Oryctolagus cuniculus: one gene and its partners. The protein of the gene in region 6 binds, or shares a complex with, the protein of the main gene of each other region. Links are inferred from orthologs where the notes say so. Each region holds a gene or a part of one and is shown on either strand. Other genes may lie near its edges. The genes, in order: MED31, MED8, MED20, CDK8, MED16, MED13 and MED24.

Region 1 (4,037 bases), about 14 Mb from region 6:
GCTCAAGTATTTGAGTCCCTGCCACCATATGAGAGATGCAAGCTGAGTTCCTGATTCCCAGCTTCTGGCCTGGCGCAGCCATGGCTGCTGTGGGTATTTGGGGAGTGAACCAGCAGATGGGCGACTTCTTTCTCTCCCTCTGTCTGCCTTCCAAATAAAATAATTTTTCAAAAAATTTGAAAAGCTTCACCACTGCTTTCCAACCACCTGGCTAATACTAAGCAAAGTAGTAAGTGCAGCCTTCCGCATTGAAAGGGAATAGGTTTCTGGTCATAATATGCCCCTTGCAAATGTAATTGGCCTTCAAGTCAAAGTGTCTCTGGAACAACTTGAATGGCAAACACACATACACGTAGTTCAAAAAGTTTGTGGAAAAACCTGAATTAAAAGCTTATTTGGATATAAAAAGCTTGTAGTCTATACTTGGTTATTTCATATTACACAATTTTTCAAGAACTTCTGGAAATCCCTTACACATGGACTCCAAAAGTTTTTTGCACCAATACAAACTCGTCTTTTGGATCCATTTTCCATTTACTTTTTGAAGGACCGGCATGTGTACGGAAACAGTTGTGAGTGTGCAGTGTTTTTTAGTTATTGAATGCAAAGCATTTGGGCACAAAGATCGCTGCTGGAAGACACAGTGACATCCTCCACATCTTCCTCACAGGTACTTCTGTGTGATCTTTTATTATCAGTCAATGGCTATGTTGCTGCATGTGAGGACCAGAGTCCTTCAGACCAGAAACCCAGAGAAATGGGGAGACTGGTAGAGAGGAGGTCAAGAAGACTGGGCCAGATGCGGCCGGGCCGCAGACTTCACTGCCAGGAAGGGAGGGCCCCCCAGGTCTAAGGAACAGACAGCATGTTCTAAGCTACAGTTCCCAGGGACCACATCGGCTTCTGGGTAGAAAATCGCGTTGCTTTATTGGCTTTGGGTGAGGTAGTGAGGAAAGAGCAGAAAACAGAGCCAACAGTGAGTGATTTCTGCAGGAATCCAAATTAAGAGGTAGGCAGTGACAACCGAACGCGCAGAACGTGCAGATTCAACATACATTTTTACCAGTGTGAAACTAAGAAGTATTTACGTATCCACGTTTTGGGTTTTAGTAAAACATACATACACCGAGGATTACAAAAAATTAAACTTACTTTAGATACTTGGCATATTCTGGTTCTTTCCAGTACAGCAAGTACTTAAGATAATTAACAAACGCTTTGTCTTTGAAGTAACCTCTTTGAGCAAGAACTGAAAGGCATAAAAAAAAAAACAAAACCTAGGTCAGACGGATGCTTGGACTACCACCAGCCCACAAGTCCTAGTTTGCTCAGTTACAGCTACAGAATTGCTTTAAGTGCAATTCTATTCAATTGAGAATATATAAAAGTAGATACTATTAGGAAATGCAACTCTTGTCAAAAAATCATTAATAGCTATTCAATTTAATTAGGTGAACAACTTACAATTAAGGTAATTTGGGTTGGCTAAACACTGTACAAATTCCAACTCTAACTGAAACCGAAGTCGATTTCCAGCATCATCTAGGAGAGAAGACAGCAAAAATCATCCAAGACAAAGGTCGCTAAATACAACACCGATGGGTCGAAAGGAAACAGCAGCCAGGAAACCTGCGTAATGCTGAGCTACACTTCTGGGAGGCATAATTCCTTAGGAACCTAAGAAAAGGAGAACTCTGATTAAGGCAGCTAGAAACCCCTCTAACGTTGAAGAGAAGTCATCAGAGACAAGGGGAACACAGATGCGGCAGGAGACCTCCCTCGGTGGGTCACTGGAGCCATCTCAGCAGTGAGTGACCGGGTATGGGGTGACAGTCTACCTCCCTGTATTTTATTAATACACTGTAGCTACTGTCGATGGCGGTGAGGAGCTCCGAGTGCGAGCTAGGAGACTGCGGAGCGCCGGAAGACCCCGAATGGCAGCATCAGTGGCAGGATAACGCAAGTTGGTCCAGGGCGCCCCAAACTCATGCAAGCTCCCGCGGAAGCAGACCCAAGTGCTGTCTGGTGACACGACTGTCACTTTCAGCCCCTGTTTATGCTCCTGGTGGTCTTCCTACTTTTGACTGGCTCTATATTACGGTTCGTGGTGAAATAAGCCGTTATTATAGACTGTATCAAATTTATGCCTTGGCAACAAAAAAAATGAAAAGTAGGGGAGGGAACGCGAGTGGGGGGAGGAGGAGAGAGGGAAGTATGGGTCTCCTGGAACTGTACCTATGCAATCTGTTCTCTTTATACTAGTTTTTGTTTTTTTTTTAAAGAAAAGATTCCAGTGCTGTCCCTCAGTCTCACCCACGCTGGGACGAAGGTGGGGTCGCTGAGTGAACAGCAAGCGGGGAGAAAACATGTGCGAAGCCACCAAACTCTGAAAAAGGCAAAGCTGCCGGCACCTTCCCAGATGCTCCAAGAGCCCTCTCGCCTCCCGGGTCCCACTCCAAGCCCCTTCCGTTAGGCCTGAAGGAGGCCCCGGGCAGGCAGGAGAAGGGGTCCGGGCGGAGCGCACGGCTCAGAGCGCGACTCACCTGTCTCCATGGCGACGGCGGCGGCCATAACAAGGAACGACGCGAACTCTCACCAGCTCGGCAGAGACTCTGCCCAGTCTGGCTGGGGAAGTTCCGGAAGCCTCAGCACCCCGCTTCCGGCCCCGGGGCACTGTGGGATACGGGGGCGGGCCCAGCCGCGCTGGGAGGACAGCGGTTCCGCCCATCGCTGCTGGCTCCGCCCGCTCGGGCTCCTGAGCCGGGCGCTGCGGCCCGGGGAGCGCCGTATTTGGAGGTGTTTCACGTCAGCGTGTAGTGGCATTGCCGCCTAGGAGGCAGGTCGCTACTGTGACGTCATTTCTCACCTCGTGACGTAGCGTAGAGGTGTGCTGAGCGGTCCCCTCAACACCTATAGAATGGCCTCGGCCCTTGGGGGAAAGCCGTCCTCACCCCAGTGTGGACACCTCGCCTTCCAGGAAGCGGCGCCCTCGTGCCCTCCCGAGTGCTCAGGGCCTCGTCAAAGCGGCTGGAGGCGAGGCTGCCTACTGTGTCCAGCCGGGTCCCCCAGTCGCCTTTGGCTTCCTGGAGGCAGCCCACATGTCGGTGTGAGAAACAGCCCAGCCGCGGTTCCTGGGTTCCTGCGCGAGCCGCGCCCTGGGCCTCCCCACGCGTGACAAAGCCCGCACGCGGGGCTGACGGGCAAAGAGGCGGAGAGTGGTGGTATAGAGGGATGGACGGGGAAGGCCTTGCTGGTTAGGCCACAGTGGAGCTGAGACCTGTGTGGTGACACCGAGCGCCCCACCCCCACCCGGGGGTCTCAGCGGAGTGCACCCTAGGCCGGAGGAAGAGAAGTGCGAAGGGTGTGTGGGAGCAAGCTTGCAACGTTCCCCGAGAGAAGAAGGGAGAGCTGGGAGCTTCGTGTGTGAGAGGCAGAGAGGGGACGGCAACAGGCAGGACCAGTTTCTAGAGGGCCTTTGAGTCACCACGGGAACTCAGGTTCTAGTCTAACAGGAACACGCTGCATAGTTTTCGGCACAGGACTGACATGATGCAACCGCATTTTTAAAATACCTTCTGCCTTCCGTGTGGGCTGCAGAACAGTTGTTCTCATCCTGGAGGGGGGGGGGAGGATTTTGTCCCCCAGGGGATACTTGGCGATGTTTAAAGACGTTTGTGTTAGGTACAAGGAGTGCTGCTGGCAAGTCGTGGGTAGAGGCCAGGGATCCCAGCACCAAAACCACAGAATCACGGGGCCTAACGTGTCAGTGGTGCCCAGTTGGAGACGCGCTGCAGCTGGGAGAGGAGAGGCCTGGGAGAGGCTCCAGAGGAGGGTGGGAGGCCGTGCCCTCCCCTGGACAGTGTGTGTGTGTGTGTGGGGGGGGGGTGTCTGTTGCTTTTTGACCCTGCCTTGCAGTCAGTGATTTACCCAGCAGGACAAAGGGGTCTTCCAGCAGGCCAGCGATGGCCCAATTGTGTCTACTACTGGGAGCAGAACATCTGCCATTTCCAGTCCATACTCGGGCTCCTACATGTAAA
Region 2 (4,013 bases), on a different chromosome or scaffold from region 6:
GACAAGTCCTCAGATTAGGAAAACTGAGACTGACCCCCAAAAGACTCATCCCCATCACGAGCCTCGGCAGGACCCAGACCTGGAACAGGAATGCGGGGTTAGGAAAGAGGGACACGCTTTCAGCTCCTGACGGAGGCAGAAAAAGGCAGTTCATTGTTTGAATGGGGTGAGAAACACTGGAAAACAGGAACCATGGCTATTCTATGACAAAAAAAATCAGAAACTGGGTGAAAGCCTCCTTTCTGCCGGGAAACAGGAGCCATACTTCAGCAGTAGGCTGGATCTAAAAGACAGCCACATTAGTGGCAAGAGATCCAGCATGGACTGAGATATAGTGGGAAGACCCACTGAGAGAGAACTCCTGACCAGAGATGAAAAGGGTAAGAATCAAAAGCGGCCAGCGCCACGGCTCACTAGGCTAATCCTCCACCTAGCGGTGCTGGCACACCGGGTTCTATCCCGGTCGGGGCACCGGATTCTGTCCCGGTTGCCCCTCTTCCAGGCTAACTCTCTGCTGTGGCCAGGGAGTGCAGTGGAGGATGGCCCAAGTGCTTGGGCCCTGCACCCCATGGGAGACCAGGAGAAGCAGCTGGCTCCTGCCATCGGATCAGCGTGGTGCGCCGGCCGCAGCGCACCAGCCGTGGCAGCCACTGGAGGGTGAACCAACGGCAAAAGGAAGACCTTTCTCTCTGTCTCTCTCTCTCACTATCCACTCTGCCTGTCAAAAAAAAAAAAAAAAAAAGAATCAAAAGCTAGAAAGAACGTGGCTGGGCCGGTGCCTTGGCTCACTTGGTTAATCCTCCACCTGCGGTGCCAGCATCCCATATGGGCACCAGGTTCTAGTCCCGGTTGCTCCTCTTCCGGTCCAGCTCTCTGCTGTGGCCCAGGAGGGCAGTGGAGGATGGCCCAAGTGCTTGGGCCCCTGCACCCGCAAGGGAGACCAGGAGAAGCACCTGGCTCCTAGCTTCGGATCAGCGCAGCGCCGGCTGTAGTGGCTGTTTGGGGAGTGAAGCAACGGAAGGAAGACCTTTCTGTCTCTCTCTGTCTATATCTCTACCTTTCAAATAAATAAAAATAAAATTAAAAAAAAAAAAGAAAGAAAGAAAGAACGTGGCTTGGGAAACTGGGCCGCTCTCTACTTCCTTGCCACGGAGGCCCTCAGCCAAACTTCACTTACTAAATGTTGGGAAACCAAGCTCTTTCCAAATTACCCGACATCTGCAAACTGATAAATGGTTACATCATCAGAGATGAACTACTCGTCAGGAGCCCTCCCCAGTTTGCCCTGGCAACCCTTACCAGGTTAGCCTGTCATACTCGTTCTCCAGCTTGTAAATGAAACTTCCCAGTGAGTTCTTCAGATCAGCCACTTGACTCAGCAGTGCATCTAATGACGCCTCCAACTGCTTCTCCTCCCTCTGCACCAACAGAGATGGGCTGGTTACCCAGAGAGATATGAGCATGACACCTTTAGAAGAAGGCTGAAAAGCGTCGGAGAGAGTATGCCAACCGCAGTTGGCTAACACCGGATCTCACTGGAATGACAGCCAGGTTATTTTCTATCTTTGGTATTTGGGTTACAGACAGCACCAACCCTTAGACCTTTCACCTGACCTTAAGTCCTCCTACCAACTGATTCTCGCTCTCACACCTCCAAATCCAGGCCTGCTTTTCCTCTGTATTGCACGTGCCCTACTCTCCCTTGTTGAGAAACTCCTGCCAGACATAATGCCTGGGATTCATCATCCTATGCACATTTCTGTGGCACGTGTGCCCTAGCTTCCTTCGTCCTAGAATCTGCCCTGTTCTTGTCAACAGCACAGCCCCTGCGAAATCTGCCTGGACATGAAGCTTTCTCTGAACCCTAGTTCTGCACGCCCCTGCCCCTCGCTCCTCATTCGTGCTTAGTGGGTGATGTTTCAACTTTCTCCTTTATTTCTGTGCCAATATTCCTGTGCCTCTTTCACAAGCTCAGCTGACCCAGAAGGACTTACTGAAACACTGCCCCATCCAAGAAGCAAAGCGACAAGTGAAAAGCAAAACCACCCACCCAGCTCACATGACAAGCAATGTCAAGTAGTGGGGGTCTGCAGGCATTCCCTTCCCACGGTGTGGGGGGGTATCTTCCGTTTTACTTCATTTCCTCCGTCTTAATAACTCTCAGGCACAGACTGGGAAAAATGATGCCAACCCCACACTGCGCCTGACAGGAGCATCATCTTGGGTTTCACCCAAGGTTTCAGTTGATAACAACTTAGCTTCTGGCCAGCTCGGCCCACAATTCCTTCACCCTTCGGGCTTCTCTCCGATTGCAGATTCGCCGTTACGTCTGCATCCAACAGCCTAGGCTGAGGCTTGAGCCAATTCATGTCTCTCTCGGGCCGTCTCCCTTGGATTGTATCTCGGCTTTCGCAAACTACATCCTGATGCTTTCCCAGCCCCAAACAAGCGGCGGCTGCCTCCGCCCTCCCGACTTTGCTAGTCTCTCCCCTGTCAGCGGACTCCGCCCCCACGTAGCATCCGCGCCGCTTCTCCACTTGGCCTCGTCTCCCCTCTGCCCTGGCCCCGCGTCCTCTTGCCTCCGCCCTCTCCTCTTCGGTCCAACTCCTAACTCTCCGCAGCCAGCCCACTCTCGCTGCGTTACCCAAAGACAGCTAGCTGCCACTAGGCCCACCCCGCTTCTCACCTGCATTGCGGCAGCCGTGGCAGCCGCAACCACTTCCTCTTCCGGTTTCCCAGTTTCTGAGGGTTTTGTCCACCAATCAAGGAAATCGGGGCTTGGCCCGCCCACCGACTTCCGGTTCCGGCCCGGTACTGAGGTAGCCAGGTCAGGGGTCACAGTGGATCTGCCTCACTGGCCCGGGCCGGCGCGGGAAGGCTGTGTGATGGCCTCGGAGCGCCCGGAGCCTGAGGTGAGGGGCGGGCGGGCGCAGAGCTGGGCCCTGAGACCCGAGCGGGAGGAGCGGGCGGTGCGGGCAGGCGCGACCTCGGCCTCCTGGCCGGCCGACGGCCGGGCCGCGTAGCGTCGGCAGGGACCCTTGCAGCCCCGCATCCCCGCAGTCCGTTCTTTCCTCCGGAGGCTGGAGGAGAAATGCTTCGCTCGCTCTGTTGTGCTTACTGAAATCTCTTCCGCGTCGCCGACTTGACCTAGTGACAGTGGTGTTAATAAACCCTGTGATTTGGTTCCTGTCGCGGTTTCAGTGCGCTGGACGGCAGCAGCCGGTGCGTGTCTTCAGACACGGGCGTGCAGTAAACAGCACGAGTTAATTTAGTTTTAGCACTCATGATGGGGAAAGCAGCTTTGGTTTTATTGGGGGGGGGGGGGGGCTTGGCTCGGAGTGAGACCCAGTTCGGATTTTAGCGCTGCTATTTAGCTCTCTCTGAAGCCTGGGGCAAGTCTTAACTTCCTGGATTCTGTTTCTTTGTTGTTAGTCTGTTGTGAGAATCACGTGTGTGAAGCCAGAAAAGGCTTAAGCTCTCTCTGTCAGATGCCAAGGACCATGCAAGCAACTTTACATACATTGTGTCATTCACGTTTGCACAATATCCATTCTCATTTTCAGAAAAGAAAACTGAAAAGTAAGATAGGTCAAGTGCTGTACATACGCCTGAGAGTAGCAGATTTTTGGAGTTAGAAAATCTGAGCATAAAATCCCAGATTTGGGTAGAGATGCCCAGCACTGTTGGAGAACATACCAACAGATGGGAACAGTGAGGAATGTGTGTAAGAATGCAAATAGGCCGGCGCCGCGGCTCACTAGGCGAGTCCTCCGCCTGCGGCGCTTGCACTCCAGGTTCTAGTCCCAGTTGGGGCGCTGGATTCTGTCCCGGTTGCTCCTCTTCCAGTCCAGCTCTCTGCTGTGGCTCGGGAAGGCAGTGGAGGATGGCCCAAGTGCTTGGGCCCTGCACCCGCCTGGGAGACCAGGAGAAAGCACCTGGCTCCTGGCTTCCGATTGGTGCAGCGCCGGCCGTAGCAGGCATTTGGGGGGTGAACCAACGGAAGGAAGACCTTT
Region 3 (4,112 bases), on a different chromosome or scaffold from region 6:
ACTGTAGCCAGAAGAGCAGGGTTCAATTGCGTCAAATACTGCTTTTCTACAAATAAGATAAGCTCTGAGAAGTCGGTTAAACAACTCAGAGGTCAAGGCTTCTCCCCTATGAGAAAACAGTCAACATTTTTCAATCATCTCTCCCTCCACTTGGCCCCTAAACAATACTGCTTTTTCTGTTATGAACATTCGGTTTCAGGTCTCAGCTTCCAGGCTGGGCAACTCTGACCCCTACACGAATGCTATCGTTTCCAGAGAAACGAGACTTTCTTTCCCATGGAATTTACTGTTCTAATTGTCTCTCTCTTGGTTTAGACTGTAAGGTCCCGAGCTATATCTTGTTTATTTCTGCACGCAATCCATCAAAACTCCCAGCATCGTGCAAAGCCGGTAGCGAGCATCCCATATTTACAAAACCGTTGGACAAATGCTAGGAGAACTTGGTGGCCTGAGCCATCACTTCCTATTGGCCTAACTTGCGGGACGCGGCGAAAGGAGCACTAAAAACAGGGAGCGGGCCTGCAGGGTTCGGTCTTCCACCTGCCCTGCTCTCGGTAGAGAGCAACGTGCAACCCGGTTTTGAATCCAAGGTACTCCCCTGCCGGACACCTGTGGGCCGTCCACCCCCCAACCCAACTACTGCCTTCCCCGCGGACGCTCACCCAGCCGCGTGGCGCGCTCCCGAGGCTTGGCGGGCCCGTCCCCAGAGCCGTGCTCGGTTTCCAGCTCCTCCTGTTGCTGCCGTGCTTGCTGCAAAATCCGCCGGCTCAGCCGGGGCCCCACATACTCTTCCTCCTCTTCCCCGGTTCCGCGGCCCCGCCGCTTTTCCCGGGCACTTGACCGCACCGCGTTCCCAGCCAGGATCTGCTCGGCCAGGGGCGCGTGTTTTTCCTGAGCCCCAGCCCCACGGGCCGCTTTGAATTTCGGCATTTTTCTCGATAATGCGGCCCGGCAAACTCACACGTGGGTACGGCGACAGCCCAGGATGTGCGCTCGGCAATGAACGCCCAGGTCTGTGCCGAGAGGCCACGCGCTCACAGCGCCCCTACGCGTTCGGAGGCCAGAAAAGCAGCCAGCACCACTGCACTCCCGCAGGGAACTCCCGAGTCCTGGAGCCGGAGCCCGGAACAAATGCATTGCCTTTGACGTTGACGTCTCTAAATGGTGGCAGCCCGGGCCACGCTTTCCTAGCTTTCTGGATCTAGGACCAGGGTGGCCAACCAAACGGAAACTTCCGGAACTGCAAGCCAGGGGAGGGGCTGGGAATCGGGCCGATGACCTCACTGGAGGCGTCACCCAGAGTCGCTGCTGGTGCGTCTAACCGGCGCTCTGTTTTTACGTACTTCCGGAGCCCCTCCCGCGACCCGAGCCTGCGGTAGTTTTTAGTTCTTGTGGGCTTCGGGAGAGCGCTGTTTCGGCTGTGTGGTCGTGCCGCTTTCCAGGCCTGACGCTATGGGAGTGACCTGGTAGGATCACAAAGGGTTTTATGGGGCGGGACTTGGGTCGTGAAGGTCCCTTGAAACCTGGAGGGTCGGGGACTGAAGTCCGCCGTTCTCCGGGAGCTGAGCAAAATGCCCTCGGGCTGCGTGGATGTGGGCACTCTAAGGGCCGTGAGTCTCGGGCCCTAATGGGCCCCATTGCTCCTGGAAGGAAGCAAGGAAAAGGTTTTATCTCAGGAACCTTATGCATGGGTTGTGTACCCTCTTCTCTTTTTCTTGGTACGTCTTGCTACCCTTGAAATCCTAGTAGTGCAGAAAGTGGGACTTCGAGGTCGGAAACAGGGCTTTTCAGACTAGAACCCACCCGCAGGTAGGGTTAAAGCTGATAGGAGATAGGCAACGAGGCGGTGTTTGTGTGTTCGCCTCCCCCTACCTGTAGCCACCCAATAATCAGCCTGTATCTGGTTCTCATTCGGGTCTACAGGATCAAAATGGAAACTACTGGGAATTAGAAGATCAGGTTTCCAGACACTTTACTTCCTCATGACCTGCCTCCTACTACGTTTATACGGTTGATTCAGTTTCAGTGCACTTAAAAAAAAAAAAGATTTATTTATTTGAAAGGCAGAGTTAAAGAAAGGCAGGGGCAGAGAGAGAGCTTCCATCTGCTGGTTCTCTCCCCAAATGGCTGCAATAGCCGGAGCTGGGCCGATCAGGAGCCTGTAGCTTCTTCCAGGTCTCCCATGGGGGTGCAGGGGCCCAAGCACCTGGGCCATCTTCTACTGCTTTCCCAGGCCATGACAGAGAGCTGGATCGGAAGTGGAGCAGCCGGCTCTCAAATCGGCACCCACATGGGATGCCAGCTCTACAAGCAGCTGCTTTACCCTCCACGCCACAGCACTGGCCCCCAATGGACTTTTAAATCTCTGAACATGTTCTCAAACCCAGATGGAAGAGGATGGGGTGGAGGGGAAGGGTATGAACCCAGGGATCTTGGAGACCTTAGTTCCAAGGTGCTGGGTCTCTGCACCTTTTTTCTTCTTCTTCTTTTTTTTTTTTTTTTTAAGTCTTGGTTGTGAGCATCTCATCAGAGAGGCCTGGAGGCCAGGATATCTGAAGCCAGGAGTTATAGGCTTCTCTTTTTTTTCTCTTTTTTGAAAGATTTGAGAGGTAGAGTTACAGACAGTGAGAGGGAGAGACAGAAAGGTCTTCCATCTGCTCGTTCACTCCCCAGATGGCCCCAATGGCTGGAGCTGCGCCAATCCGAAGCGCTTGGGCCATCTTCTGTTGCTTTCCCAGGCCATAGCAGAGAGCTGGATTGGAAGAGGAGGAGCCAAGACTCGAACCGGCACCCATATGGGATACCGGCACCACAAATGGAGGATTAACCTACTGCACCACAGCACTGGCCCCCTAGGCTTCTCTTTTAAAAATAGTTGGGGGTAGAGGGAACACAATTTCTCCCAGTAGCCAGGGGTTTCTGGGGCTTGCACTCTTGTTTCCCCTACCACAACCCTCCCAAGCCCTGCAGAGTGAGGGTGCTGGTGCGGGATGGAGGTGGAAAAGTTGCAGCACAGGGGTTGGGACTGTGTGTAGCAGATTAAGTTACTGCCTGCAGTGCCGGCATCCCTTATGGGCACTGGTTCAAGTCCTGGCTGCTCCACTTCCAATCCAGCTCTCTGTAATGGCCTGGGAAAGCAGTAGAAGATGGCCCAAGACCTTGGGCCCCTGCACCCACGTGGGAGACCTGATGAAGTTCCTGGCTTTGTTGCCGGCCATTCCTGGGGGCGCCCTTATCAACTTTTCCAAAATCCTAGGACCTCTGTCCCTTGTAGCTTCAGGGATTCTCTGAAAGTACTTCAGAAAGTTCACAGAAAGTATGTATTATGAAAAACTATGCAATGTTTTGGCACCAAAATCTTTCTTTTTCTTTTTTGACAGCCAGAGTGGACAGTGAGAGAGAGAGACAGAGAGAGGGAAAGGTCTTCCTTTGCTGTTGGTTCACCCTCCAATGGCCGCCGCAGCCGGCAGCCGGCGCACCGCGCTGATCCGATGGCAGGAGCCAGGTGCTTCTCCTGGTCTCCCATGCGGGTGCAGGGCCCAAGCACTTGGGCCATCCTCCACTGCACTCCCTGGCCACAGCAGAGAGCTGGCCTGGAAGAGGGGCAACCGGGACAGAATCCAGCTCCCCGACTGGGACTAGAACCCAGTGTGCCGGTGCCACTAGGTGGAGGATTAGCCTAGTGAGCCGCGGCGCTGGCTGGCTGGCGGCTTCTATTTCCGCATCTTTACAACGTGAGGGAGGGGTGGGGTCGTAGCTTCTGGCTTGGCTGAGCCACAGTTCTGTGGATAGAATGGCTAAGTGAGTATGTGTGTGTCTGGGTACTGACACTGTGGTTCTCTCCTTCCCAGTGTGTCCCAGATGCCTGTGGCCGAGGGCAAGAGTGTCCAGCAGACCGTGGAGCTCCTCACCCGAAAATTGGAGATGCTTGGGGCAGAGAAGCAAGGAACGTTTTGTGTGGATTGTGAGACTTATCACACGGCTGCCTCTACCCTTGGAAGCCAAGGTCAGTGAGATGGGTATGTAGGACGGCTGGAATGTGCCTTGGAATTCACGGGCATTAATGAGAGTTCCTTATGCTTTTGTGTATTCCAGAACACATGGCAAGATGT
Region 4 (3,500 bases), on a different chromosome or scaffold from region 6:
GCAGAAAGAGCACGGAAGGAGAATGGAGGACACAGCTTTGTGTCACTGGGAAGGATAATCTCAAGATTTCTACTTTGAGGAATTGACAAAATAGAGAAATCGGGGCAAGGAAAAAGTAAGGAGGAAATTCCATTTAGGAATTTAAGTAGACATTTAGTTTACATTATGTGATGTCTATGGAGGACAGTTAGCAAATATTTTTACCAGTGACTTCAAAGAAAAGCAAACCATGAAAGGCCAATTAAAAGTGAAAGGTGCTTGTCACAGTGCTGCTTGCCTAGTGGGCTTTCATTAAAAGTCTTTGGTATTGATGGAGAAAGCAGGTGATCTGACATGAGTTGTTGGAGCAACTCTTAAGGCCAGCAAACCTGGCTGAAACATTTTGTTCTTAAAATTTATTTAACAACTTTTGTTTTACTTAACACCCCAAAAATTATTTAGTAGCTAGGAGTTTTTATTTAGTGTCGGGTAATGTTAATAAAAAAAACCAAGATACCAGCCGATTATTAATATTACTATTTCCATCCTACACCCAGTTCTACTGCAAACAGTTATTACTGGCTATATTGATTGCTGATGTAAATAAGGAAATTGCTGATTTGCCAAGAAGTGTGGTGGAAAAGGAAAAAATAAATTATTATACTAATAGAAATAGAACTTTTTAATAATAAATAGAAATACTTATAATATTCCTTCCTAGTTATAGTAATTGAGGCAACTTAACAATAAATCATATGGAAAGCAAACAATTTAAAAATTTAAAAGATGAACAGATATAAAAGCTATTTGAGCGGATGAGGAATTGTATTTACAGTTCAAGATGTTTATTGTAGCTGAACATTTATTTGAACTCTGAGCTTCCAGAGAGGCTAAAAGAACTGGAAATATAGTGAAAATGGAGGTAATCTATATTGAAATTCTAAAGAATAGGAACCTAGGCAACATAAAAATTTATCAATGTGTTTCACAGATAAAGATTGGGAAGATATAAAAAAGATGCCCGAACATTCAACATTAATGAAAGATTTCAGAAGAAATACGTAAGTTGGAAAGAAAATAGACATTTGTTGGTTTTTGCTTCTCCAGAATACTCAGTTTAAGATAGAACACTCAACATACTCAACATAACATTACTTCAATAAGTAACTTAATTTATTTACTCTAGTAAATATTTTTCATAGCAGTCTTCATAAGATGATTAAAAATTATATGAAAAAATGACTAATAGAGCCAATTTAGATACAGAGGGAGAAGTCAGTTCTTTTCTTTCCGATATTTACTACTTTCTGGAAGCTAGATATTAGTGAAAAATATCACAGCTAAAGAAGTAAGGAACTAAAATAAACCTTAGCAGTTACTCACCTAGGTTGTATAGTCATTTTAAGCAAGTTTTAATACAGAAGAATTATTATTTCAGTTATTTACAAAGCAAGGCCAATGGTTGGGACAGCTTGGTTTGTAAACCTACAGCAAAGGTATTTTAAAGTTACTGGTAAGGCTGAGTTAAACTTTTGACCCAGATGTTGTCTAAAATAATTAAGATGTGATTCATGTGAAAACAGCTACTCAGTATATATTATTCATGGAATTATCTTGCATTTAATCATTGGCATCCATTCAAAAAGTGACTAGTATGGGTATTGAATGAGTTATAAAATTGATTTAATGCTTTTTTTATGCTGATCAGTTATGATCAAAGTAATTCTCTTTGGAAGGACTTGAGCCAATGTAAAATTAACCTCACATCTAATACAGATATTTCATAGTATTTCTCTTTCAGGTATACCAACTGCAGCCTTATCAAGTATATGGAAAAGCATAAAGTTAAACCAGATAGTAAAGCATTCCACTTGGTAAGCTTTAAATAACAATGCTAATGAAATTCATTTTTTCCCCAATTGACTACCACCACCTGAGACTTTTTTGGGTCAGTTTATATGGTTGATTAGTACTCCTGGAGTACTTTAATCATAAATGCAAAGATCTTGTGTTAGTAAAGACATCAAAAAAAATTTGCTTTTCCAAACCTGTATTATGACCTGACAGACTAATGTTTTGTCATATTAGATTTTCTAAAGGTAGTAATTATGACAATTCTGTGAAGAGCACTAAAAGTTGTATTTAGTGTTTTTCATCTGTTATTTTTAAATTTCAAAAATCTCAGGGATGTATAAAAAAAAACAGTTCCACCTTCTGAAATAATTTCTGCAAACTATTTGGTATTTCAACTCTTGAAAGAATGTTTACAGAATTTTTAACTCCGTGATACTTTTATAAACCTGTGCATTAGATATGCCTCAGGGATGATATGTATTACATGCTTTTTCTGGAAGAGTGTGAGAGATGCAGTATTTCTCTATGTGTAATGGAAAGGTAGTTTGACCTAGAATGTGTATGAATCTGAACACTAGCAAAGTAATTTGTGATGAGATCATATTCAGTGATTGACAAATTCAGTTTGTTTGCAGTAAAATTTTGTCACCAAGATGTTTTTCACTTTTATGTTTTTAAACTTTTATAACATAATGAGGGGAATTTGTAGAAGCAAGTTATATTTTGCTTGGCTTGAAATTTTTTTAATCCTTTTTCCTGTTTTTTTTTTGTTTTGTTTTGTTTTGTTTTGTTTTTTGTAGGGGCATGTGGGAGGGGGCAGACAGTGTAGAGATTTCAAGAGAGAACTCCTATCCATTAATTCACTCCCCCAAATGCCTGCAACAGCCGGGGACTGGGCTGGGCTGGAGCCAGGAGCTGGAAACTCAACGTAGTCTCCCATGTGGGTGGCAGAGACCCAGTTACTGGAACCCTTGCTGCTGCTTCCTAGGGCCTGCATTAGCTGGCAACTAAGGTCAGGGTCTGGAGGCAGGCATTGAACCTAGGTGTTCTGATATGGGGTGTGGGAATCTGAATGCTAGGCAAAATGCCTGCCCCTCAAGTATTTTTAAATGGAAATTCCTTTATCTTGAAAACATGAAATGTTTCCTTTATTGCAACCAGGTCGCTTGGCAAGCATTTCTTGTATTTCTGCTTCTGTTTTATTGTCTTCCTCTACTTCTGATTTTAGAACTTATTTTATCATGTCATATTTTATATCATATATTTCATACCTTATTAGTAATTTGAAAAGCAATGCTTAAACTGTCATATTACCACACATTGTACTATTCAAATCATTTATTCTGATGTACTTAAGACAAGACAATTGGAAGGCTAAGTTAGATCCTTCAAAATCAGACTTTTTAATTCTAACAAAATGATGATAGTGGTGGTAGACTAAAAGTCATGACATAGAGGAATTTCTCTGACTTTTCCCTAATTCCCTACTACTCATTAAAGTCTGAAATGACTCAAAACCATCACCACTGAAAATCTAGAGGTATACCTTATTGCTTTAACTGTTTTGCTTATTAATCCTGGCATGACCTATCTTAACTGTTGATAATCTTGAATGGTCCCATCTGAAACTCTATTGCAATCCATTAAAATTATTGGGTACTTTAAAT
Region 5 (4,040 bases), on a different chromosome or scaffold from region 6:
GGGACAACGTCGCGGGACGTGGGGGCCAGGGCAGAGGCCCGGGGACCCGGCCAGGCGGGACCGGCGCCCGCCGCAGCGCCGGCTCTGGGCTCTGGCGCGGGCAGCAGAGGCCCGGCGGGGGCTCTGGGACAGAGGCTGGGGAGGGCGCCACCCTGTGGGGGCCCCGGGGAAGCGCCTGGCTCCCGGCTCTGGACTGGACTGGTCTGGCCCTGGCCAGAGTGGATCAGGGACGGGAGACCACCCCCCCTCGCTCTCCACCCCCCCCCTCCCTGTCTCCCTCTCCCCCTCCCTCCCTCCCTCTCCCCCTCCCTCCGTAACTCCGCCCCTCGGGCAGCCAGGCCCCGCCCCCGCCCTCACCTGACTGGTCCCACTCCAGGCAGGTGATGGCCTCGGTGTGGCCGGAGCTGATGGAGTGCACGTCCCACGGGTGCTCCGTGTCCAGGATGTGGATGGTGCGGGTCAGGTCTGGGGGCACAAGGACACAGTCCCGAGGGGTCCCGTGACCCCCAGGCGGCTCCGTGGAGGACCCCCAGGGCGATGGTGAGGGACAGGCTGCCCCCTGGCGGGCAGAGCGGCCAGTGACCGGGCGATGGGAAGATGGAGTGAGAGGGGCCGACGCCCGGGCAGCAGCGCCCGCGGTCCCCGAGCACGCGTCACCCGGCAGCAGGGCAGACGGCACGGCCACTGACGCAGAGCAGGGGCCGGGACGGGGCCTGGGCCAGCAAGACCCCAGCCCCACGTGGAGCCGGACCCCAGCGTCGGGGAGGCCGGGGCTCTGGACGCCCCAAGTTCCAGAGGAGGTGAGGGGCGGAGCCGGGCGGGGACACGGGGGGCGGGGCCAGGTGGGGCAGGATGGGGGACACGGGGGGCGGGGCCAGGTGGGGCAGGATGGGGGACACGGGGGGCGGGGCCAGGTGGGGCAGGACGGGGACACGGGGGGCGGGGCCAGGTGGGGCAGGACGGGGACACGGGGGGCGGGGCCAGGTGGGGGCCGGGCGGGGACACGGGGGCGGGGACAGGTGGGGGCCGGGCGGGGACACGGGGGGCGGGGACAGGTGGGGGCCGGGCGGGGACACGGGGGGCGGGGCCAGGTGGGGTCATGGGGGGCGGGGCCAGGTGGGAGCAGGACGGGGACACGGGGGGCGGGGACAGGTGGGGGACATGCGGGGAGAGAGGGCAGTGGGGGGCGCACCCTGGTCCTCGTTCCGCACGTCTGTGGTGAAGGCGATGAGGTTGCGGCAGGACCAGGCGCAGGCCAGGGGCACCGAGGGGCAGTGCGTGGTCTTGGGCCATTTCTCCCACTCACAGACGTAGGCCAGGTCCATCCCGCCGCAGGCCCGGGGGGCTCGTCACTGACACGGCCCAGTGCTGGGGGGGGGCATAGGGGGGCTTAAACACACGAGGCCACGCCCGTCCTCCGCGACGCTGGCGTCCACACGGGGACTCCAGGAGGGGCCGGGCGGCTGGGGCGCGGGCCAGCACCCCCAGGTCTCCACAGGACCCCGCAGATGTGCTTGGTCCGGGGAGCGAGGATGGGGCGGCAGGGGGCGCCCAGGGCCGCGCGGTCCCCCAGGCTGGGCCCGGGCCTGCGGAGGGCCCAGAGTGACCACAGCGGCGAGCGCCGGCGCCCCTGGCGGCTCCAAAGAGAAGGGGCTCCATCGACGTGGGCCCACCCCTCCGCCCCAGGCACCCCGGGAGCCCACGCCCACCCTAGCCCACCCCACCCCGACCCCCCAGCTCCGCCCCAGGCACCCGCGAGCCCACCCCACCCCGACCCCCCAGCTCCGCCCCAGGCACCCGCGAGCCCACCCCACCCCGACCCCTCAGCTCCGCCCCGGCACCCCGCGAGCCCACGCCCCGGCACCCCGCGAGCCCACCCCACCCCGACCCCCCAGCTCCGCCCCAGGCACCCCGCGAGCCCACGCCCACCCCACCCCGACCCCCCAGCTCCGCCCCAGGCACCCCGCGAGCCCACGCCCACCCCAACCCCCCAGCTCCGCCCCAGGCACCCCGCGAGCCCACCCCACCCCGACCCCCCAGCTCCGCCCCAGGCACCCCGCGAGCCCACGCCCACCCCACCCCGACCCCCCAGCTCCGCCCCAGGCACCCCGCGAGCCCACGCCCACCCCGACCCCTCAGCTCCGCCCCGGGCACCCCGCGAGCCCACGCCCACCCCGACCCCTCAGCTCCGCCCCAGGCACCCCGCGAGCCCACGCCCACCCCGACCCCTCAGCTCCGCCCCGGCACCCCGCGAGCCCACGCCGCGACCGTCCCGACATCCAGCCCCAGGGTCTCAGGCCCAACCCCAGGGACCCCCCCCCCGTCTGCGGGCCCCGCCCCCGAGCCAGGCAGCCCCGCCCCCGAGCCAGGCAGCCCCGCCCCCAGCTCGCCTCAGGCTCCGCCCCCGGTCCCGCCGCCCCGCTTCGGCCGCGGACTTCGCCTCAATTTCCGCGCAGCGCCCGGGCTCCCCCACGTCGCGCCGGGCCGCGCGCCCAGAAGCCTTTGCGCTCGGGCCCGCCCCCTGACCCCGGAGGCCCCGCCCCTGCCTTCCCCGCGCCGCTGTCCCCGGGGTCGCGGACGTCGTCCCGAGGCCGGCTGGCCGCCGCCGCCGCCGCCGGGCCCTCCCACGAGCCCCGCGCTCACCTGGCTGGCCCGAGCGTGGAGCCGAGGGCACGGCTGCGGCCCGCACTCGCCCTAACGCCGCGGCTCCGGCGCCGCCATCTTCCCGGACCAACGAGTCGCCCAAGCCGCGCCGCCGCTTCCCGCAGGCTCATGGGACGGCGGCGGCTCCGGCTCCGCCCAGCTTCCGGGCTTATTTGCATAGTCCTATTAGGTTCCCGGCAGCCTCCGTTCGTGTGTCTCATATAAAACAGAAATATTTCCCTAACGTCGATTAAAAACTACACCTCATTAGAACATATACTGTCCTAACACAGTAAAGAGCACGAGTGCCCCACAAAGTTGTCGCAAGAAAATTCACCCTTATCGTAAAGACAAGATTTCTCGGCACCTTAAATACTTGTCCAGGATAGCGGTCGTTCGTGCTCGCTTCGGCAGCACATATACTAAAATTGGAACGATACAGAGAAGATTAGCATGGCCCCTGCGCAAGGATGACACGCAAATTCGTGAAGCGTTCCATATTTTGCTACCCCTTTCCACGAACAGCGTGCAGGAGGAGCCGGCCCGGTCCGCGTGGAGCCGCAGCCGTCGCGCGTGAATGCCCACGCAGGGTGTGCGTGACTGGGCGGTGAGCGCGGGGTCCCGGGGGTCTACGCCGTCCGCTCTGCAGCCCACGCCCTGCTCCTGCCCTCTGGCACACACCGGAGCAGGTGAGAAGGCGGCCCGCGACCAAAGGGCACTGAACCCACAGCATAGCAGACGCACCCCGGGACACGGAGCTCCCGCGGTGCAGCGCCACGGCTCACAGGTGGGCCCGGCGGGGCCACGGTCGCCGCAGCTCTGCCCGCAGCAGCGCTGTGACTTTGTTTCCCTTACCTATTTGATAGGCAGGGGCCGTGGGGAGGGGGAGAGGGGGAGAGGGGGACAGATCTCCCATCGGCTGGTTCACTCCGGGGCTGGGCCAAGCAGGAGCCCCGGGTTCCCCACGTGGGTGCAGGGCCCCCAGCACTCGAGCGGGCACTGCCGCCTCCCAGGTGTGCATAGCAGGGAGCGAGGTCAGGAGCTTTACCCTGGGGCTCAGCTGCTGGGCTACGCCTGGGTCCAGCAGGCCCTCTGCCGTGGCTGAGAACTGGGCAGGGGGCTTCACGGACGGTCCCTGGAGGTCTGAGTGGCCACCCCGGGCACCCCGGCTGCTCCCCTTCCAGCCCAGCTCCCTGCTAACGGCCCGGGAAGGCGGCAGTGACGGAGAGGTGCCAGGGCCCCTGCACGCACGGGGGAGACCTGGGTGGCGCTCCCGGCTCCTGGCTTCAGCCTGGGCCAGCCCTGGCCGTCACTGTTCTTAGATGAAGATCCCCCCGCCCCGCCCCGTGTAACTGTGCCTTTCATGTAAAATGATAATAAATATACAACTTTCAGAC
Region 6 (3,500 bases):
TAGGATCTAATGTTTTAAGTTATAGAATTCTTGATTTGCTAATAGTTTTAGAAATAAAATAATTTGTAGCTAACCTCTGTAACACCAAGACATAGTTTTCTTGTGTGTGTGTAGCTAAGAAAATGACCAAGTACTTTAGACTTGCTTATAATATCATTGAGCGTCCTTTAGACTTAATCCACAGAGATGCAGAACCAAATTAATTCAGAGGCATTTGGCATTCCAATAATTTGAACCTTATGATAACATTCTACCATTTTACCATTTTGGGTTTTAATTAGCTATTGGTGTAGAAAATATTTTTTCAACTTGTGGTTTAGGAGCCTTTTTAATGATTTGATGGGAATTTGCTACATAATATTTATTGCATTTAATTAGTTGCATCTAGAAAATGTAATTTTATTTTATTTCATGGTAATCATTTATTTAATTTGCATGAAAAAGCTGGTTTACTTTTACAATTCCGTTTTCAATTTCTAGGTGAAAATAAGCTAGTTGATACTAAATTGTTAGCAGGCAGTTTAGGGAGAGTAATTACCAAGAAAGTATAAATTAGATTATTATTTTATTCATAAAGAATTTGAAAAAGAACTAACCAGTGAAATAAAGAATTTAAATACCCTTCCTGTTTTTATCTTTAGGTCCTTATCTTGCTTCGCAGCCACTGGACAGCTCTCTGCTTTCCCAGCCAAATTTAGTTACCCCTCCAAGTCAGTCTTTGATTACACCATCTCAGATGGCAAGTACTGGAAATACTAATACTCCATCAGCCACCCTAGCATCTGCAGCAAGCAGCACTATGACTGTGACTTCAGGGGTTGCACTGCCTACTTCGGTTGCAACAGCTAATTCGACTTTGACCACAACTTCATCTTCTTCATCCTCCAGTTTGAATAGTGGAGCATCATCAAATAAACTACCTTCATTTCCACCCTTTGGCAGTATGAGCAGTAGTGCTACAGGGTCCATGTCTGCACAAGCAAGTGCAGTTCAGAATGGCCAGCTAGGGGGGCAGCAGTCATCAACTCTACAGACAGCTGGGATTTCTGGAGAGTCATCTTCGCTTCCTACTCAGCCACATCCTGATGTGTCTGAAAGGTATCTTTAAAAACACTGATTTTTGCACAAATATAAAAACTATGATTCTTAATTTTTTCTAAATATGAGTTATGAGCATTTTCAGTATCTGCTAAATGGGGTGTAATGTGATATAATATGCATACATTGTGCTTTATGTAATGCTTCCAAGTTTTGTTTTCCTTTTTTTAAAGGTTTATTTATTTGTAAGTCAGAGTTACACAGAGAGAGAAGGAGAGGCAGAGAGAGAGAGAGAGAGAGAGAGAGAGAGAGAGGGAGGTCGTCCATCTGCTGGTTTACTCCCCAACTGGCTACAACGGCCAGAGCTGCGCCAATCCAAAGCTAGGAGCCAGGAACACTTCTGGCTCACCCATGTGGGTGCAGGGGCCCAAGAATTTGGGCCGTCTTCTACTGCTTTCCCAGACCATAGCAGAGAGCTGGATTGGAAGTGGAGGAGCTGGGACTTGAACTGGCCCATATGGGAGGCTGGCACTGGAGGCGGCAGCTTGACCCACTACACCAAAGCCCTGGCCCCTCCAAGTTTTTTTTATAATGACCATAGTGATGACATTTCTCATTCCCTTTTTTTAAAAAGATTGATTTGTTTATTTGAAAGGCAGAGTTAGAAGGGGAGACAGAGCTCCTCTGTCTGCTTGTTCACGCCCCGTATGGCTGCAATGTCCAGGGCTTAGCCACGCTGAAGCCAGGAGCCTGAACTCCATCTTGGTCTTCCTCATGGTAGGAGCCCAAGTACTTGAGTCATCTTTTGCTGCATTTCCAGGCATATCACCAGGAAGCTGGATCAGAAGTAGAGCAACGGACTCAAACCAGTGCTCATATGGGATACTGGCATCACATGTGGCAATTTAACCTTGACGCTACAACACCGGCCCCTCTCAGTCCTTTTATGATGAAAGTATTGAGTGAACTTCCCTTTTAGTTTATAAATTTGGTTAGGCTGAGCATTGTTAAACCTGTCATCTATCCAGGATACAGTTGTTCGCAGAGTTATACTCATATACATCGATAAAAAAGCAGACTATTCCCTATATTAATCCAGCCATCTTAAACATCTAAACAGATTCGAAGTTTAAAAAAAATTAGCCATCAAATAATGTAACTGGTTTACCATTGAAATTACGAAGTATGAAATGTAGTAGAACATTGAATAGATCTGGGAATCTGGTTTTCTTTCTTTCTTTCTTCCTTCCTTTCTTTCTTTCTTCTCTTCCCCCCCCCCTTTTTTTTTTTTTTTTTGAAGATTTATTTGAAAGAGTTAGAGAGAGGGAAAGATAGATCTCCCATCCATTGATTTACTCCCTGGATGGCCATAACGGTCAGGGATGAGCCAGGCTGAAGCTGGGAGCCAGGAGCTTTATCCAGGTCTCCTACATGGGTGGCAGGGGCCTAAGCGGTTGGGCCATCTTCTGCTGTCTTCCCAGGTCACCAGTAGGGAACTGGAGAGGAAGTGCAGCATCTGGGACTCACCTGGCACCCATATAGGATGCTGGCGCTCCAGGTGGTAGCGTTACCTGTAGAACTTGGTTTCTTTCTGATCTTGATTTAGCCAATTTTGTGATTTGGGGCTGCTACTGAGATAGGTCTTAGACAGAGGACCAGTTTTATCCTTTATGCACTAAACTCTCATTTCAGATATACTGCAGTTTTAAGAATTTTATTTCTATTTTCTTCTTATGCTAGTACGTATGTATGTATGTATGGTTCACTGATACTTCCCACCAAAAACAAAAAAAGGGATGGGGGATCAAGAGCCTGCTTTTGAATGCACTCCCAGCAATACAGTACAAGTTTTTGTCTTACTTCTACTTCATATTTTAGCACGATGGATCGAGATAAAGTGGGAATCCCCACAGATGGTGATTCACATGCAATTACCTATCCACCTGCAATTGTTGTTTATATAATCGATCCTTTTACCTATGAAAATAAAGATGAAGGCACTAACTCTTCTAATGTGTGGACTTTGGGACTACTTCGATGCTTCTTGGAAATGGTCCAAACTCTTCCTCCACATATTAAGAGTACTGTTTCTGTACAGGTAAGATTGATAAATATTGTGAGTTAAATATTTGTAAAACAGTTTGCTGTTTGAAAGATACTATTTTTCTGTTTTCAAATTGGTGTTCTGAAAGCCAAGTTCTATTATTGATTTAACTTTAAGTGATATAGATGTTAGCTATGTTGTAATAACATACCTGATGTAAAATATAAAATTCTTGATGATATGATATGTTGTAAAACATGAATTTTACAATCATACCACAATAATAATGAGAAGTAAAAATTGCATATAGTATATAGTATGTTAAATACTGGTCCTGTGTTAACCTTTTAATCCAGTGTTTAAATTCATAAGCCTAAGCAGGTAAACGTAGCATGGACCTGTATAAACTGGAGTTCTA
Region 7 (4,179 bases), about 13 Mb from region 6:
GAGGAGTCTGGGTTCTCCCTCCCTCCTGCATCGGAAGCTCCAGCTACACATATTTGGCAGCTGTTTGTATAAACACTATTCCCCAGTGGTGTCACTTGGGCAGGCACAAAGGGAGGATAATGGAGTGGGGTGAGGGTGTGTACAGGGGAGGGAGATGGGATCTGGCCCTTCTCCAGCCACACTGTTCCCTTTGGAAGAGGAGTCCTCGTTTCCCTGCTTGGCCCTTGCTCCGGATGCCCAGGATCCTGTTATTCTCTGCCCCGACAGAGCCTGAGAGGGCTGCTCATCCAGATTCAGAAGGTGGCTGAGGGATGGCTGTTGGGAGAGGGACGGGACTGGGACTTGTGGACTGGCACATCTGGTTCCTCAGGATACGGGGTTGGGGGCTAAAAGGAGGGGTGGCAGGACACTGGCCGAGGGCCCCCCCATTCCCTCTTGTCTCTGACTATAAATGTCTGGGGTGACCTGTCCTTATGACTGGGCAGGGGTGAGGCTGTATAGGGAGGCTTAGATCTCAGAGCCAGAGGTGGGGGATGTTTGCTTTCTGGCTTCTCACAGGAGGGAGAGAAGATTTAACGCCTAAAGCCCTGGACATTATAATCTACAATGTGATTCTTGGGATAAACAGGATTGCTTTTGGTATTTTATTTTATTTTTTGAAGAACTTATTTGTTTAACAGAAAGGCAGTATGACAAAGAGAGATCTTCCATCTGCTGGTTCACTCCCCAGATAACTGCAACAGCCAGGGCTCCAGGCCAAAGCTACGAGCCAGGAACTCCACCTAGGTCTCCCACGTGGGTGGCAGGGGCCCAAGTACTTCAGCCATCTTCTATTGCCTCCAAGGCACACTGGCAGGGAGCTGGATCAGAAGCAGAGTAGTCAGGATTCAAACCAGGCACTCCAATGTGGAATTCAGGTGTCCCAAAAGGCAGCTTAACCCGCTGCGTCATGCCTGCCCAATAAAACAGGGTTGGGGTGATATGGTGGCACAGTGGGTTAAGCTGTCCACTTGTGATGCTGGCATCCCACAGCAGCGTGCTGTACTGAGTTCTGGCTACTCTGCTTCGGCTCCAGCTTCCTCTTAATGTCCCTGGGATGGCAGCAGCAGACGGGCCCCTGCCACCCACGTGGGGGACCAGGATTGAGTTCCTGGTTCCTGGTTCCTGTCTGCAGCCTGGCCCAGCTCAGGCTGGCCAATTTCTAGCTCTGCACCCAGTTTCTCCTTTTATTAACATCTTGGCATTAGTATGATACATTTGTTAACAACTAATGAATCAACATCAATACATTGTTACTAACTGAAGTCTGCTTTGCTCATATTTCTTTAGTTTTTTGCCTAATGTGTTTTTTTTTTTTTTTTCTCTTTCAGGATCCCATCCTCAACACAATGCCTTTTGTCGTGTCCTCTTAGGCCATGTCGAGCAGTTTCTTGGATATTCCTTGTTTCTTAAACACGCTAACTTCGGTTTCCTCTTTATTTCCTACTGAATGGGCCAGGAGAGTATGTGAGGACGCTCAGATGCGGCTGTGAGGTGATGTGTGTGCCACTAACCGGCCTCAGTGTCGCCTGTGGGATGCAGGTGTGGAAATGAAAAGTCTCACAGCTCCAAGAGCTCAGTAGTGGGGGGGGGGGGGGGGATAAAAGACCAGGGAAGAGAAACGCCACACCCTGCCTACTAACTAGAGGGTAAGGAAAGGGTGTCGGAATAGGATGGAAGGGCCTGGTCGGCAGTGACGTCATTGGGCGACGCCCAGTTGCAAGCAGCTTTTCAAGCCCCCCACACACCCCGTGCCTCTGAGACGCTGTAGTGCCTCAACGCCTGGATATCCTTCTTAAAAGGAGATAAATAATGCGGCCTGACAAGTAGTCCCTTAGCTTCCTTTCCATGGCAAATACGACTTCCGTACAAGGAACTACAACTCCCAGAAGGCACCGTGGCGGGACTTGCCGTATCTCTACTGGTTCGTATTTGTTATCCTCAGCCAATAAGAATTGGGCTCTTTGATAAGTGCCAAAATGGCGCTCCCTAGGGTCTAGAGCTCGACTGTCCGGTAGGTTTAAATTTAGGGAGGTGGAAGATGAAAAGGATATAGGGAATTATAATTTCAGGGTTGGGGAAGATGGTGGAAGTGGGGGTGGGGGAGAAAGCTGAACGTGGGGTGGTAGAGGCCGAGGGACGCCGCCAGGGCTCGGGGAGTAATTGGCCATTGGAACTGGCTTAACCCTTTGCTACCCTCTTTAGTGTTTGTATTACCCGTTTGACACTCTCTTCCTCGTGCCCCAGTCCAAGAAGGGATGGATTAGGAGGGACGGGTCTGACAGGATCTCCACCTTGTCCCTTCCCCTTTTTTATTTCCTGCTCCTCGCTTCAATCGGTTCCCGTCTCCATTCTGTGGAGCTCTGCCCGCGGCTGTTCTCTTTCCCTGAAACTTATCTCCTCTTTAGCTCCATTTCTGCAACCTCAAAGCTGTTCTCTACGGGCCGCCGCCTCAGAGTGAAGGCATGAAGGTGGTCAACCTGAAGCAAGCCATTTTGCAAGCCTGGAAGGAACGATGGAGTGACTACCAGTGGGCAATCAACATGAAGAAATTCTTTCCCAAAGGAGCCACCTGGGACATTCTCAACCTGGCAGGTCTCAAGTGAAGTGGAAGGAAGGGTGGGAGGGATGAGCCCAGGGAAGTCGTAACCACCCAGCCTTACTTTGTTGTTCCTTTTACAGAAGCACTCCTGGAGCAGGCCATGATTGGACCTTCCCCCAATCCGCTCATCCTGTCCTACCTGAAGTATGCCATTAGTTCCCAGGTAAACCACTTCTTCCCCAAGGAATGATTTTGGGGGTGAATGACCTGGAGTGCAGTTGTCAACTTAGTTTTTTTTTTTTTAAAGATTTATTTGTTTATTTGAAAGGCAGAGTTACAGAGAGGAAGAGAGAGGGAGGGAGAGAGAAAGAGAGAGAGGTCTTCCATCCGCTGGTTCACTCCTCAGTGGCTGCAACAGCCAGAGCTGTGCTGATCAGAAGCCAGGAGCCAGGAGCTTCTTCCGGGTCTCCACTTGGGTGCAGGGGTCCAAGGACTTGGGCCGTCTTTTATCGTTTCCTTAGGCTCATTAGTAGGAAGCTGGAGTGGAAGTGGAGCAGCCAGACACAAACCGGTGCCCACATGGGATGCCGGCACTGCATGCAGTGGCTTTACCTGCTATTCCATGGTGCCAGCCCCTGAACTTACACTTTCTACATGAACTGTTTGAACAGATTGCTTCTTTGAGCTCAGTTTTCTTGTAAAAATAAGAATACTTCATATGTTGTGATGGGTATTTCATTTGCTTATTCTGTCAGTGCTTTTAGTACCAGACAGTGCTAGGCTCTGAGGAAAAAGCTGTAAACACGACCTGTTCCTGGTACACAGGAATTTAATGGGTGACATTCATACAGACTTGTAAAGCAGCAGTCACTTGATGGGTTTATGATAAGGGTTAGAACAGAGTACGGGGGCTCCCTGTTGGGTCAGCAGGTTAAGCTGCTGCCTGTTAGCTTGGCATCCCATATCGAGCACAGGTTGAAGTCCTTCCAATAACGTATCTGAGGAAGCAGTGCAAGATGGCTCAAGTCAGGCTGGCGCCGCGGCTCACTAGGCTGATCCTCCGCCTAGCGGCGCCAGCACACCGGGTTCTAGTCCTGGTTGGGGCGCCGGATTCTGTCCCGGTTGCCCCTCTTCCAGGCCAGCTCTCTGCTGTGGCCCAGGAGTGCAGGGGAGGATGGCCCAAGTGCTTGGGCCCTGCACCCCATGAGAGACCAGGAAAAGCACCTGGCTCCTGGCTCCTGCCATCGGATCAGCGCGGTGCGCTGGCCCCAGCGCGCCGGCCACGGCGGCCATTGGAGGGTGAACCAACGGCAAAAGGAAGACCTTTCTCTCTGTCTCTCTCTCTCACTGTCCACTCTGCCTGTCAAAAAAAAAAAAAAAAAAAAAAAAAGGTGGCTCAAGTCACCCAGATGGGAGACCCAGATAGAGTTCCAGGCCCCCTTGTTGTCATCTGAAGAGTGAGCAAGAAGATGGAGGATCTTTCTCCTTCTGCCTCTCCCTCTGTGTTTCAAATGAGTATAATAAGTCTTCTAATTTATTTTTAAAGAATAGAGTATAGGTACTGTGAGAGAACATGGAAGGGACATCTAATCCAGTCT

The links.
Region 1: MED13 (region 6) and MED31 share a complex: the UniProt entries of both Homo sapiens proteins name them as parts of the mediator complex. The link is inferred for Oryctolagus cuniculus from reciprocal best matches to the Homo sapiens genes MED13 and MED31.
Region 2: MED13 (region 6) and MED8 share a complex: the UniProt entries of both Homo sapiens proteins name them as parts of the mediator complex. The link is inferred for Oryctolagus cuniculus from reciprocal best matches to the Homo sapiens genes MED13 and MED8.
Region 3: MED13 (region 6) and MED20 share a complex: the UniProt entries of both Homo sapiens proteins name them as parts of the mediator complex. The link is inferred for Oryctolagus cuniculus from reciprocal best matches to the Homo sapiens genes MED13 and MED20.
Region 4: the proteins of MED13 (region 6) and CDK8 are in contact, whole or in part, in a cryo-EM structure (PDB 8TQC), measured with the Homo sapiens proteins. The link is inferred for Oryctolagus cuniculus from reciprocal best matches to the Homo sapiens genes MED13 and CDK8. Residues at the interface, in NP_005112.2 of Homo sapiens: Thr1616, Met1617, Asp1618, Arg1619, Lys1621, Val1622, Gly1623, Ile1624, Pro1625, Thr1626, Asp1627, Gly1628, Asp1629, Ser1630, Val1732, Lys1733, Thr1734, Leu1735, Thr1736, Gly1737, Phe1738; in NP_001251.1 of Homo sapiens: Leu9, Glu12, Arg13, Arg71, Lys74, His75, Pro76, Leu81, Gln82, Lys83, Val84, Tyr133, Asp137, His140, Tyr141, Met330, Gln331, Phe335, Leu336, Leu340, Pro341, Thr342, Ser343, Asp344.
Region 5: MED13 (region 6) and MED16 share a complex: the UniProt entries of both Homo sapiens proteins name them as parts of the mediator complex. The link is inferred for Oryctolagus cuniculus from reciprocal best matches to the Homo sapiens genes MED13 and MED16.
Region 7: MED13 (region 6) and MED24 share a complex: the UniProt entries of both Homo sapiens proteins name them as parts of the mediator complex. The link is inferred for Oryctolagus cuniculus from reciprocal best matches to the Homo sapiens genes MED13 and MED24.

What each region holds. Positions count from the first base shown.
Region 1 is NC_091448.1:49,926,731-49,930,767, reverse strand, and holds the start of MED31 (mediator of RNA polymerase II transcription subunit 31), read right to left. Parts: upstream 2,801-4,037; 5' UTR 2,572-2,800; coding exon 2,544-2,571; intron 1,543-2,543; coding exon 1,465-1,542; intron 1,250-1,464; coding exon 1,153-1,249; intron 1-1,152. UniProt on the Homo sapiens protein: Component of the Mediator complex, a coactivator involved in the regulated transcription of nearly all RNA polymerase II-dependent genes.
Region 2 is NC_091438.1:129,634,736-129,638,748, reverse strand, and holds the start of MED8 (mediator of RNA polymerase II transcription subunit 8), read right to left. Parts: upstream 2,801-4,013; 5' UTR 2,693-2,800; coding exon 2,687-2,692; intron 1,438-2,686; exon of another isoform or gene 1,419-1,437; coding exon 1,300-1,418; intron 1-1,299. Other genes in the region: KICSTOR complex protein SZT2, read left to right, coding at 2,886-2,912. UniProt on the Homo sapiens protein: Component of the Mediator complex, a coactivator involved in the regulated transcription of nearly all RNA polymerase II-dependent genes.
Region 3 is NC_091436.1:127,988,546-127,992,657, forward strand, and holds the start of MED20 (mediator of RNA polymerase II transcription subunit 20), read left to right. Parts: upstream 1-1,312; 5' UTR 1,313-1,452; coding exon 1,453-1,466; intron 1,467-3,851; coding exon 3,852-4,006; intron 4,007-4,112. Other genes in the region: BYSL (bystin), read right to left, coding at 663-930. UniProt on the Homo sapiens protein: Component of the Mediator complex, a coactivator involved in the regulated transcription of nearly all RNA polymerase II-dependent genes.
Region 4 is NC_091440.1:96,689,384-96,692,883, forward strand, and holds part of CDK8 (cyclin-dependent kinase 8), read left to right. Parts: intron 1-970; coding exon 971-1,040; intron 1,041-1,780; coding exon 1,781-1,853; intron 1,854-3,500.
Region 5 is NC_091447.1:58,476,258-58,480,297, forward strand, and holds the start of MED16 (mediator of RNA polymerase II transcription subunit 16), read right to left. Parts: upstream 2,801-4,040; 5' UTR 2,644-2,800; intron 1,369-2,643; 5' UTR 1,326-1,368; coding exon 1,193-1,325; intron 466-1,192; coding exon 358-465; intron 1-357. UniProt on the Homo sapiens protein: Component of the Mediator complex, a coactivator involved in the regulated transcription of nearly all RNA polymerase II-dependent genes.
Region 6 is NC_091448.1:35,500,617-35,504,116, forward strand, and holds part of MED13 (mediator of RNA polymerase II transcription subunit 13), read left to right. Parts: intron 1-641; coding exon 642-1,098; intron 1,099-2,916; coding exon 2,917-3,136; intron 3,137-3,500. UniProt on the Homo sapiens protein: Component of the Mediator complex, a coactivator involved in the regulated transcription of nearly all RNA polymerase II-dependent genes.
Region 7 is NC_091448.1:22,376,912-22,381,090, forward strand, and holds the start of MED24 (mediator of RNA polymerase II transcription subunit 24), read left to right. Parts: upstream 1-1,379; 5' UTR 1,380-1,963; intron 1,964-1,979; exon of another isoform or gene 1,980-2,053; intron 2,054-2,447; 5' UTR 2,448-2,504; coding exon 2,505-2,634; intron 2,635-2,721; coding exon 2,722-2,804; intron 2,805-4,179. UniProt on the Homo sapiens protein: Component of the Mediator complex, a coactivator involved in the regulated transcription of nearly all RNA polymerase II-dependent genes.